2 linked regions of the Bombyx mori genome follow. The protein of the gene in region 2 interacts with the protein of the main gene of each other region in a pairwise test. Links are inferred from orthologs where the notes say so. Each region holds a gene or a part of one and is shown on either strand. Other genes may lie near its edges.

Region 1 (4,596 bases), on a different chromosome or scaffold from region 2:
CTGGCATATCATCATAGCAATTCAGTTTAGTTTAAACGGCCGTCTGGTGTAGTGGTAAGTGACATGGTCACTACATACGGGGGTCGCGGGTTCGAATCCCGCCAAAGGATGATATTTGTATGATAAATATAAATGTCTTTTCCAGGGTTATGGATGTATATTAACTATGTATGTGTATAATAAAAATCTTATATTTATTTCCGTTATCTGGTACCTGTAACACAAGTTCTTTACGAACTTATCACGGGGCCAGTCAACGTGGCGTGATTGTTAAAAAAAATATATATATATTATATACATCATGATTCTTATCGTGTTCCATCTGAGTTTGATTACAGGTGCCAATTCCAAATCCATTTTAAAAAACATTTACAACCTATCATAGATAATAAAAAACTAAAAAACATTCATTCAGTATTTTCGTGAGTGGAATGTAAACCCAACATCTTATCGTGTTCCATCTGAGTTTGATTACAGGTGTCAATTCCAAATCCATTTAAAAAAAATATTTACAACCTATGGTAGAGAATAAAAAGCAAAAAACATTTTCATTCAGTATTTTCGTGATTGGAATGTACACCCAACATGATTCCTATTGTGTTCCATCCGAGTTTGATTACATGTGTCAATTCTAAATCCATTTTAAAAAACATTAACAGCCTAGGGTAGAGAATAAAACAAAAAACGTTTTCATTCAGTATTTTTGTGAGTGGTCACCATCAGCACAATGAATATGAGAAATATCAGGGGTACCTTTGGTTATGCTGGAACCATGTCACATAAGCACATTACCCTTGGTTTTTGTTGTAACAAAATAAAATATGATAGGTATTAATGAGCAACAAATTTTTAATTTACAACAACCAGCTTTTACTATCACCAAAATAGCTATAGAATGATTGAAAAGCGTTTTGACTTAATAGAAGTAGACAACAGGATTTGTTTATGTCAATTTTATAGTTTCAAATTTGTAACATAATCAAAAGGATAATGGATGGTACCATCCAGTGTTTGTTTGGTGTTTCTAGTTGTTGACGTCTAGACATAATGCAAACACCAGCTTAAACCTTGAAACATAGTTTTATATAGCATTCTTCAAATCAGAATGCAAAGCTATAAAAATATGTTTGACTTTAGTCCTATCTGTATTGCCTTACAAAATACTAGAGTAGGGATTTGAAAGGGGTCGATATCAACCACTTACACACTCAGTTAACTAGTTTTTAAATTGATAAGTATTTTGTATCAATGAGAAAAAAACTGAATATAGGTATTTTAAAGTAATTTGGCCATGGGAGTCTGGGTATCAATTAATTTTGGAACAACAGTCTCTTGCCCAAAATAGCTTGATTGGAATTCCTCTTATAGTGAAATATTACTAAGCAATAATCCTTTATAATGTATTACAATGAACTCAAAAGTTTATTTATTATAATTTTTTTAGAAAGCCTTTATTAGGATTAGGATATTTAGAGAAATATCATTTCAGTATGTAAAAGCCTTCTACAGTTTTATTCATATAAACTTTGACTGTATATTATTATACAATTAGAAACAGAAATAAGATGAAAATACTTTAAAACTTTTCATGAGACAATTAATATACACTGACCTTTTTCCGGAGTTCAGGTTTACCCTTTTTGACTGTGGCCACAATCATGTCCCCGGAACCGGCCGCCGGCAGTCTGTTCAGGCGACCTTTGATACCTTGGACAGCGATCACATACAGATTCTTTGCCCCTGAAATAATTAAGAGACATTAGTATGAAACCACTTTATGCGTGGCTTTTTGGCATCTTCTTCTTCATAATGTTTGCAGAATTTGTATTAAACGAAAAAGTGTCACAAACTGAAGGTAGTTTTTAAAAAAAAAATAGTTGTAGGTACTTCATATTATTCAGATTTACTAGGAGTAACCAGAGAAAAGAGCACGAAAAGGTAGATTAAAAATTTTACACTATCACTTCTCAAATATTTATGATAATTTTCAATAATTTTTCTACTTATATCAGCGGTCGGGGAACCGGGGTAAATTACCCCAAATGGGGTAAAATGAAATTTTGGGGGGTAAAAATGAAACTTTTGTGAATAAAAAGTATATATTGAAGTGAAACTTCTTTAGAATCGTTAAATTTTTAGTTATTGTTTTCTTTTCAAAATTATCATGGGGCTTTAATATGAAATATACTAAAAAGAAGCGATTTCGTTTTTTTTTGTTCTTCGCCATGGGGTAATATCAACTTACACAAAAATATTTAGGGGTAATAATCAAAAAAGTTCCCCGACCGCTGACGTATTATTGTTGTAAATTCTCAAGACAATCAATACTTGATCATTTAAACTATGCATTTAATTATTATCGGTCGAGCATCTTCAGACACAGCCAAGGAAGATTATCATTATGAATCAAAACACAAATTTGTGTCCGATAGGTATCATCATTAGATGCACAACCCAGAGCATCGTGTGGTTTTAGGTTATGTGAGGTTCGTCACAATAACATTAGTTAAAAGTACCTGTGTTGTCGGCGCAGTTGATTACTGCTCCCACTGGGAGACCCAGGGAGATACGGAATTTCGCTCCCGCGGAACCACCACGTCCTTTAAACAGAAAAACATAACACTATACATTTTCACCAAAACACCAACTAATCAATAAGATAGAATCACTTCGAAATAAAGGTTCCGAGCAATGGTTTTCGTATGGTTATGGATTCGTACATATTGTGTACTATAATATCACATGGATTGAATCGATTTACTCGGATAATTTAGAATTTCACGAACCTCTCTTAGACATTTTGTTGTATCAAAATTTTGAAAGAAATAATAGGGACGTGAAGCTAGTAACTTTTGTTGTCGTACTCGTTCAAAAATCAAAATGTCAGTGAAGGTCTTGAAGTTAGTAACTTACTGTAGGCGATCTTATCAATCTATAAAGCAAAATGGTCACATTAATTTCTATTAAAATTTGTTCTATTTGAATAAATTTTCTGAAACACATAACTGAAATTTTTTTGTTTGTGCGATGTAATTTTAATCAAATAATCTTTTAAAACCTTTTTTTATTCCTACTTGATTTCTAAACGAAATTAAGTTCTTTGTGCATGTTGTGCCTTAACAATTATCAATTGTATAAATAAAATATACGGAGTGAAGCTGCGTAGCGAAGTTTTCTCTGAAATTAAATTACAGCGATGTTAGGTACGGTACCACTTTATGGTTGCTCTTTGACTTGATTAATATTATTGATCGAAGTCTTCGACGGATACTTTTTCAGACACAGAGATTAAGCTCTTTACTTTTGTTCTCTACACTATAACTGCGGACTTTAACTTTCACTTTTTATTTGTACTTGTTGGAATTTTTAATTTAAAATACAATAGAATTTCCAAGACTATTTTTAGATTAAAAATTATAAATCAAGAAAAATAACATTAAAATATAATCAACAATTAATCTGCGTAAAACAAATCGTAACAAAAAAATGATTGTCATTAACAAGTGTTGCTAGGTATTTTGGTTTATTACTTTACTTTTTATTAATGTACGTTGCATATTTGTAAATTTTCACTTTGTGAAATCATACTATCAATTCTATTAAACATAATATGTATTATGTTCGAAAGAGCTATGTATATGAAAATTAATCATACCTAAAGTTTTAATGTCTGTCATGTAAAAGTCTAATTTTGATTTTGTTTGGCTCCTTAATTATAACAAATAATTGCCTAGAGTAGCCACAGATAGCTTTGACTTTATGCTAGTATAGCGTTTGTTTATCTAGTGATTTGTGATTTTCTTGACGTGAAAATTTCGAAAACTCAGTCTTTTCCATCACTTCCATTTTGGTTTTCAATTTATGCAACACTGCCTAATGTAGTACCTACATGTCAAAATCATAGCCGCTTGTCATTCTGCAAAAACTGGCAAAAAGAATAACTGAAACACCTACATAAATTCATAAGCTGAAACAATATTTAACTTCGTATTAAAAATAATATAACAATGGCTTTTATGGGGGACACGATGAACCCCACGCCGTTGTGGCAAAACGGACCGTCGCCTGGAGCATTTTATAATTTTCCTGGAAATGCTTCCACAATTGCTCCATCCAGGCACGGTGTACAGGATTTTACAGCTCAGTAAGTATTAATCATTGTTCATAACTTATCAGAATAAACAGCAGTTGCTGTAGCTGTAGATGTTAACAATTTTTTTTATAGAGACCGCTTTGTATGACCATCCACATTACTAAAAAACCTAAAAATATAAAAACAAACTAAAGCCACTTGATATTTACAGACTAGTGTAAGTTCACTTCGAGACAAATAGAAAATGTAATTACTTTTTGTAGTGACACGCCGAAATATTTCGAATCTTTAAATAAAATTTTGAATTTCGGAAAATCATTTGATCCCCTACCTAATTTATAAAATATTTTTTATTATAAGTTGATGCATTAATGCCTATCAAAATAAATAAAAAATTCTAAAAAATATACATCATAATTAAGTACAATGTTCTTAAAAGCATAAACAAACAATATTAGCCAATTTTTAAATTAGAATTTATCCATAAATCATAAAAGTTTTAA
Region 2 (4,320 bases):
TGAAAAATCTAACCAACCTCCAGTAGTGTAAGTTTTACTGATCCAAATAAGGTATTTAAAGTTGTATAGCATATTTTTCCTATGAGCTTTCTCAAGTTCAGTCTGTAGTGATGCAAATAATGGTACGCTAATCGCTGCAGGAATGTTTAGTATTCTGGAAAAGAAAATAATTATTTTTAAAAGTAGCAAAAAAACTAAACATTTCTACTTTAAAAGTCCCAATTATAATTTTCTCCATTTCTCCAGAAGTTCTGGAGACAATAAGATATTCACACAAATAAAACATAAGTATTTTATACATATATATCTGTATACAGCCAGTTAAGCTAGTGGGTTGCCCAGTGTAGGTAGTTAGGCATTAGAATAAATCATACTATATACAACTTACTTATATCATGGGACATGAGGATAGTCTTAATTGTAATGGCTTTCAAAACTAAAAAACATGGGACACTTCATAGTTACAGTCACTTGAGTGAATCAAAAGTTTTGGGAATTAAATATCTTACCTTATCTTATACCTTTAAACGAGCAATTCTTGTATATATATAATCTGAATCTCGGAAACGGCTACAACGATTTTCATAAAATTTAGTATACAGGGGATTTCGGGGGCGATAAATCGATCTAGCTACGATTTATTTTCAGAAAATGTTTTTTTATTCGTGTTTTCAATAATCAACTTTATGACTATTCCCCACATCTATTGGCAGATAATCAAACTTATTTTTCTTAATTGAGGGCAACTAACCGCTTTAAATACACAACAAGATGGCATTATAAAAAAAAAAAAAGAGCAAAGCTCGGTCATCATCTAGTCTATAGAAAAAAAACAATGAAATTCTGAATACTCCAAAATTTTTACCTTTCATTAATAACTAGGCCAGTATGCTGAGAATCATCAGCCAGAATATATTTAATTAATTCTTTGGTTCTGGGATCTGCATTCTCCTGAGATAGTTTTGTAAGCAATTCTCTGATCTGTGCCACACTGGGTTCATTCTGAAATAGTCAGTGAACTATATTAATTAGATAGAACACTACATATAGAGAAGAATATTTACATATCAAAAGAATAGAAGTACACTACATAAGGAAAGGCTATTTGGTTTAAATGACATTTTTCAACTTTACAGGAGAGCCATTTAGAGATTAAACTTTGGAAAAAAATATATATAAATGTCACATATTAAGCAAATTGTCGCTTAAACCAAATAGCATTTTACCTCTCAATGTTTTTTTTCCCATGTTAGTTTTTTATTCATTGGTATTTTAGTTGAAACATATTGATAGTTTGGGAACTCAACAAAAATTTGTTTAATTGATTTCAAATTAACTTTTATTAAGGAGTAAATATCACTTTTTAAAGTTAGTTGAAATGTTTAATATAAAAACATTGTATTAATCTTACTTTTCTTTTAGTAATATTCACTACTGTAGTTACTCCAAAAACTCCATCACTACCATCGTCCTCATCATCGTCATCCTCTTGACCATCATCCAAACATTGCTTCACAACACTGCCTATGTAATTTTGTGCTGACAAAAAAAAGTAGTGTAAAATTATAAATTGTATGATCCAATTGATTATTCACTATTTTTAAAAACAATTCAAACTTTATAGCCAGTACAATTAAAATTTTACAAGCAATTTTTTTTCTTGGTTAGAATTGAATAGGTACAGAGTTTTCTGGTAATTTGACAAGCTCTGTATTAAGTCACAAAAGTCTTACATATAATAATTTGGGCTAGCCCTCCAAGGTCAACATTTGATTTCAGAAACAGTTGCCTCAGTAGCTGCTTAATACCGTGGAAGTCACTATCTTCTGGGTTACGTCCTTCGAAATCAGCCTGTAGCTCCTGAAAATAGCAAAAGAATATCTCGATGCCTCCAATGAACACTACTCTAACTCAAAATTTTGAAATTTTCGTTTTTCACGCAAATCGCTTCACTATTTTAAAAGTATTACATATTCATTATTAATGGGGTTCGAAGCAAGAGTAAATCAACTAGTTACACAAGAAAAAACCATAAAATCTTTATTATTGCAGATATATTTATCAACTTTTTTCGTTTAAACTCTCCTCTTGTAAACCTACGAATTTGGAGTTATAGTAGTGTTCATTGGAGGCATCGATCTTAATTTAATTTTCAGTAATTTTGAATTTCACAATTTGGTTTGGAAAAAGGGTGGGGAAAAGCATTTGTCACTGGAAACCGCTTTGCTGTTACATGCTGCAGTAAAATACGCCATATGCTTTAATATAGTGATTACATGATTTGAGTTTATTTGTAAGTTTACTGGGCATCTGCAAGAAAGTATTTGTGTACTAATCTCATTTATTTTCATTAAGTTTATTTATCCATTTTACATAATCTAGTTGATTGTATTTAATTACACGATTAATTGAAACAAAGAGCCATGTGTTTTGTAGGTTATGGTTTTGCTTACTTTTTCACCGACATAGTTGCCGTCTGAATCAAAATCAGAATCTTTTTCGCTGCCTGAATCTTGTTCCTTTTCGCTTTCGCTGTTTGTGTCAATTTCCTTGTTCTTTTTATTAGGCATTTTAGCAAAATAAACAAACGAGGAGGTTATTAAAGAAATATTATACAAGTTGAAAATGAAATGAGATTAATGCACTTTTATTCACTTATTTTTAATGAAAGGTTTTGTTAGCTGTATGACAGTAGTAGTTCTATTGATCCAACTGGAAAGGCAAAAGTATTATGCCATACAGCTTATTCTTTTATTATAATATAATATATCTTTTTTATGAAAAATAAGTAGTGAAATTAAATGAAATGGAATGAAATATAATATCAGTAAAACGGTGCCTAGCCATTTACTGAAAATTTTCCAGAGGACTTTTTGGAGGACCCAGAGAAGTTACGTCCAGCGGCTTTGTTCTATTTTCCCAAATTTGTGCACTTTCACAGATAACTAAACAATTCATCATAAACCACTGTTATCACACATTTAAACTTGAAGAAACACTAAATAGGTAGGTATACAGGTCGCTGGGTGACATTAAGTGTATTAAGCTTTGTGATTTAACGAGAGCGGTCGGGCGGCCTAGGAAAGCGATCTGAGATCCATTAATCATTGGATAGATTTTTTGACCAAAAATATCGAAACGCAAACGCAATATAAACTGTTATTTACGTTTTTAGGCGTTGTTTTCATTTAAAATAAACAAAACTACATTTAGTTAAATTAATAAAAGAAAATATTGTTGTTCGAGCAAATTTTATATATATATTAATGAATAACCAAATTATTAAACCACCTTACTAAGTGACGGGGTAAGTTGGCGGGGGTACAGGGAGACCCAGTGAAACGGTATTCGCCGCTGTCCACCGATCAGTAGGGGACCTGAACCCGGGTGTTGAAGGATATAGAAATGCTCAGATGAGAGAAACTAACCTTTTATTAATATTATTTATTAAAGACACTACTGTTTTTACTGTTATACATTTTCGTGAGACCATAGTGTTTTTATGCTACCTACTCTTCTAACCACTGACATTAAAAAAATACTAGTGTTGTGCTACAGCTCACACTTCTTAATAGGGATGTACCCACTAACAGGTGTCACAACTAAACTCCGCCCCGGGAAGCTGTCCCGCCAACCAGTGTGAAATCCTGTCGTGCGGTCGTCGTGTCGGAGTCGCAGACTGGAGTGGATCCCGGCGATCGTACGCAGGGTGGACTGGGGACCCTTCCATGCCCTGCGTCAGCCTTTCACGAACGGGGGGATCGGACGCTTCGGCGAGTGTGCAGGGGAGTCTCTAAGTTAATAGGGCCTTATATACCAATCTTGAGCCCGCAGTCTTGTCTTAATATCTACGGACCGTCCAGTCCCATATACGTCGCGCGCCTCTCGTAGGAGGTTATGCCCCCAATGCAGAAATAAAATAGCACCATTTTTAAGATCATGGAAGGTCAATAGATTCAACTGTGATTCAACTAGGTTTACCTACGTCCTAAACAATTTAAATAATGTTTTAGAAACGTCTTACATAACTGTAAAATTACAAATTATGTCGGACAGGCCAATACTGTTGTTTACTTGTATAAATTTTAATGTATTTAATTGCATGGAAATTGGTCGACTTCTTGGCTCAAGGTGATCCTGGGATTGAATTCGTCATGTTTATGGGATTCAGTATTTTTTATTGGTAACCCAAATTTGATATTGAATTATTTGAAAACACAGAGTAAATACTCATATTGAAATAAAAAAAATATCTATTTTTATTTTGAAAATTATATATTGAAATGTAACTATGAATATTGTGCTTTCGTGCTGAAATTA

The links.
Region 1: the proteins of protein BCCIP homolog (region 2) and RpL23 interact in binary tests that used the Homo sapiens proteins (3 or more experiments, as listed by UniProt). The link is inferred for Bombyx mori from reciprocal best matches to the Homo sapiens genes BCCIP and RPL23.

Annotation. Positions count from the first base shown.
Region 1 is NC_085108.1:4,102,352-4,106,947, reverse strand, and holds the start of RpL23 (ribosomal protein L23), read right to left. Parts: upstream 2,821-4,596; 5' UTR 2,800-2,820; coding exon 2,787-2,799; intron 2,601-2,786; coding exon 2,517-2,600; intron 1,741-2,516; coding exon 1,613-1,740; intron 1-1,612. Other genes in the region: proteasome subunit beta type-4, read left to right, coding at 4,008-4,144.
Region 2 is NC_085132.1:4,572,954-4,577,273, reverse strand, and holds the start of protein BCCIP homolog, read right to left. Parts: upstream 3,032-4,320; 5' UTR 2,571-3,031; coding exon 2,454-2,570; intron 1,861-2,453; coding exon 1,734-1,860; intron 1,540-1,733; coding exon 1,412-1,539; intron 1,003-1,411; coding exon 866-1,002; intron 155-865; coding exon 18-154; intron 1-17. UniProt on the Homo sapiens protein: During interphase, required for microtubule organizing and anchoring activities. During mitosis, required for the organization and stabilization of the spindle pole.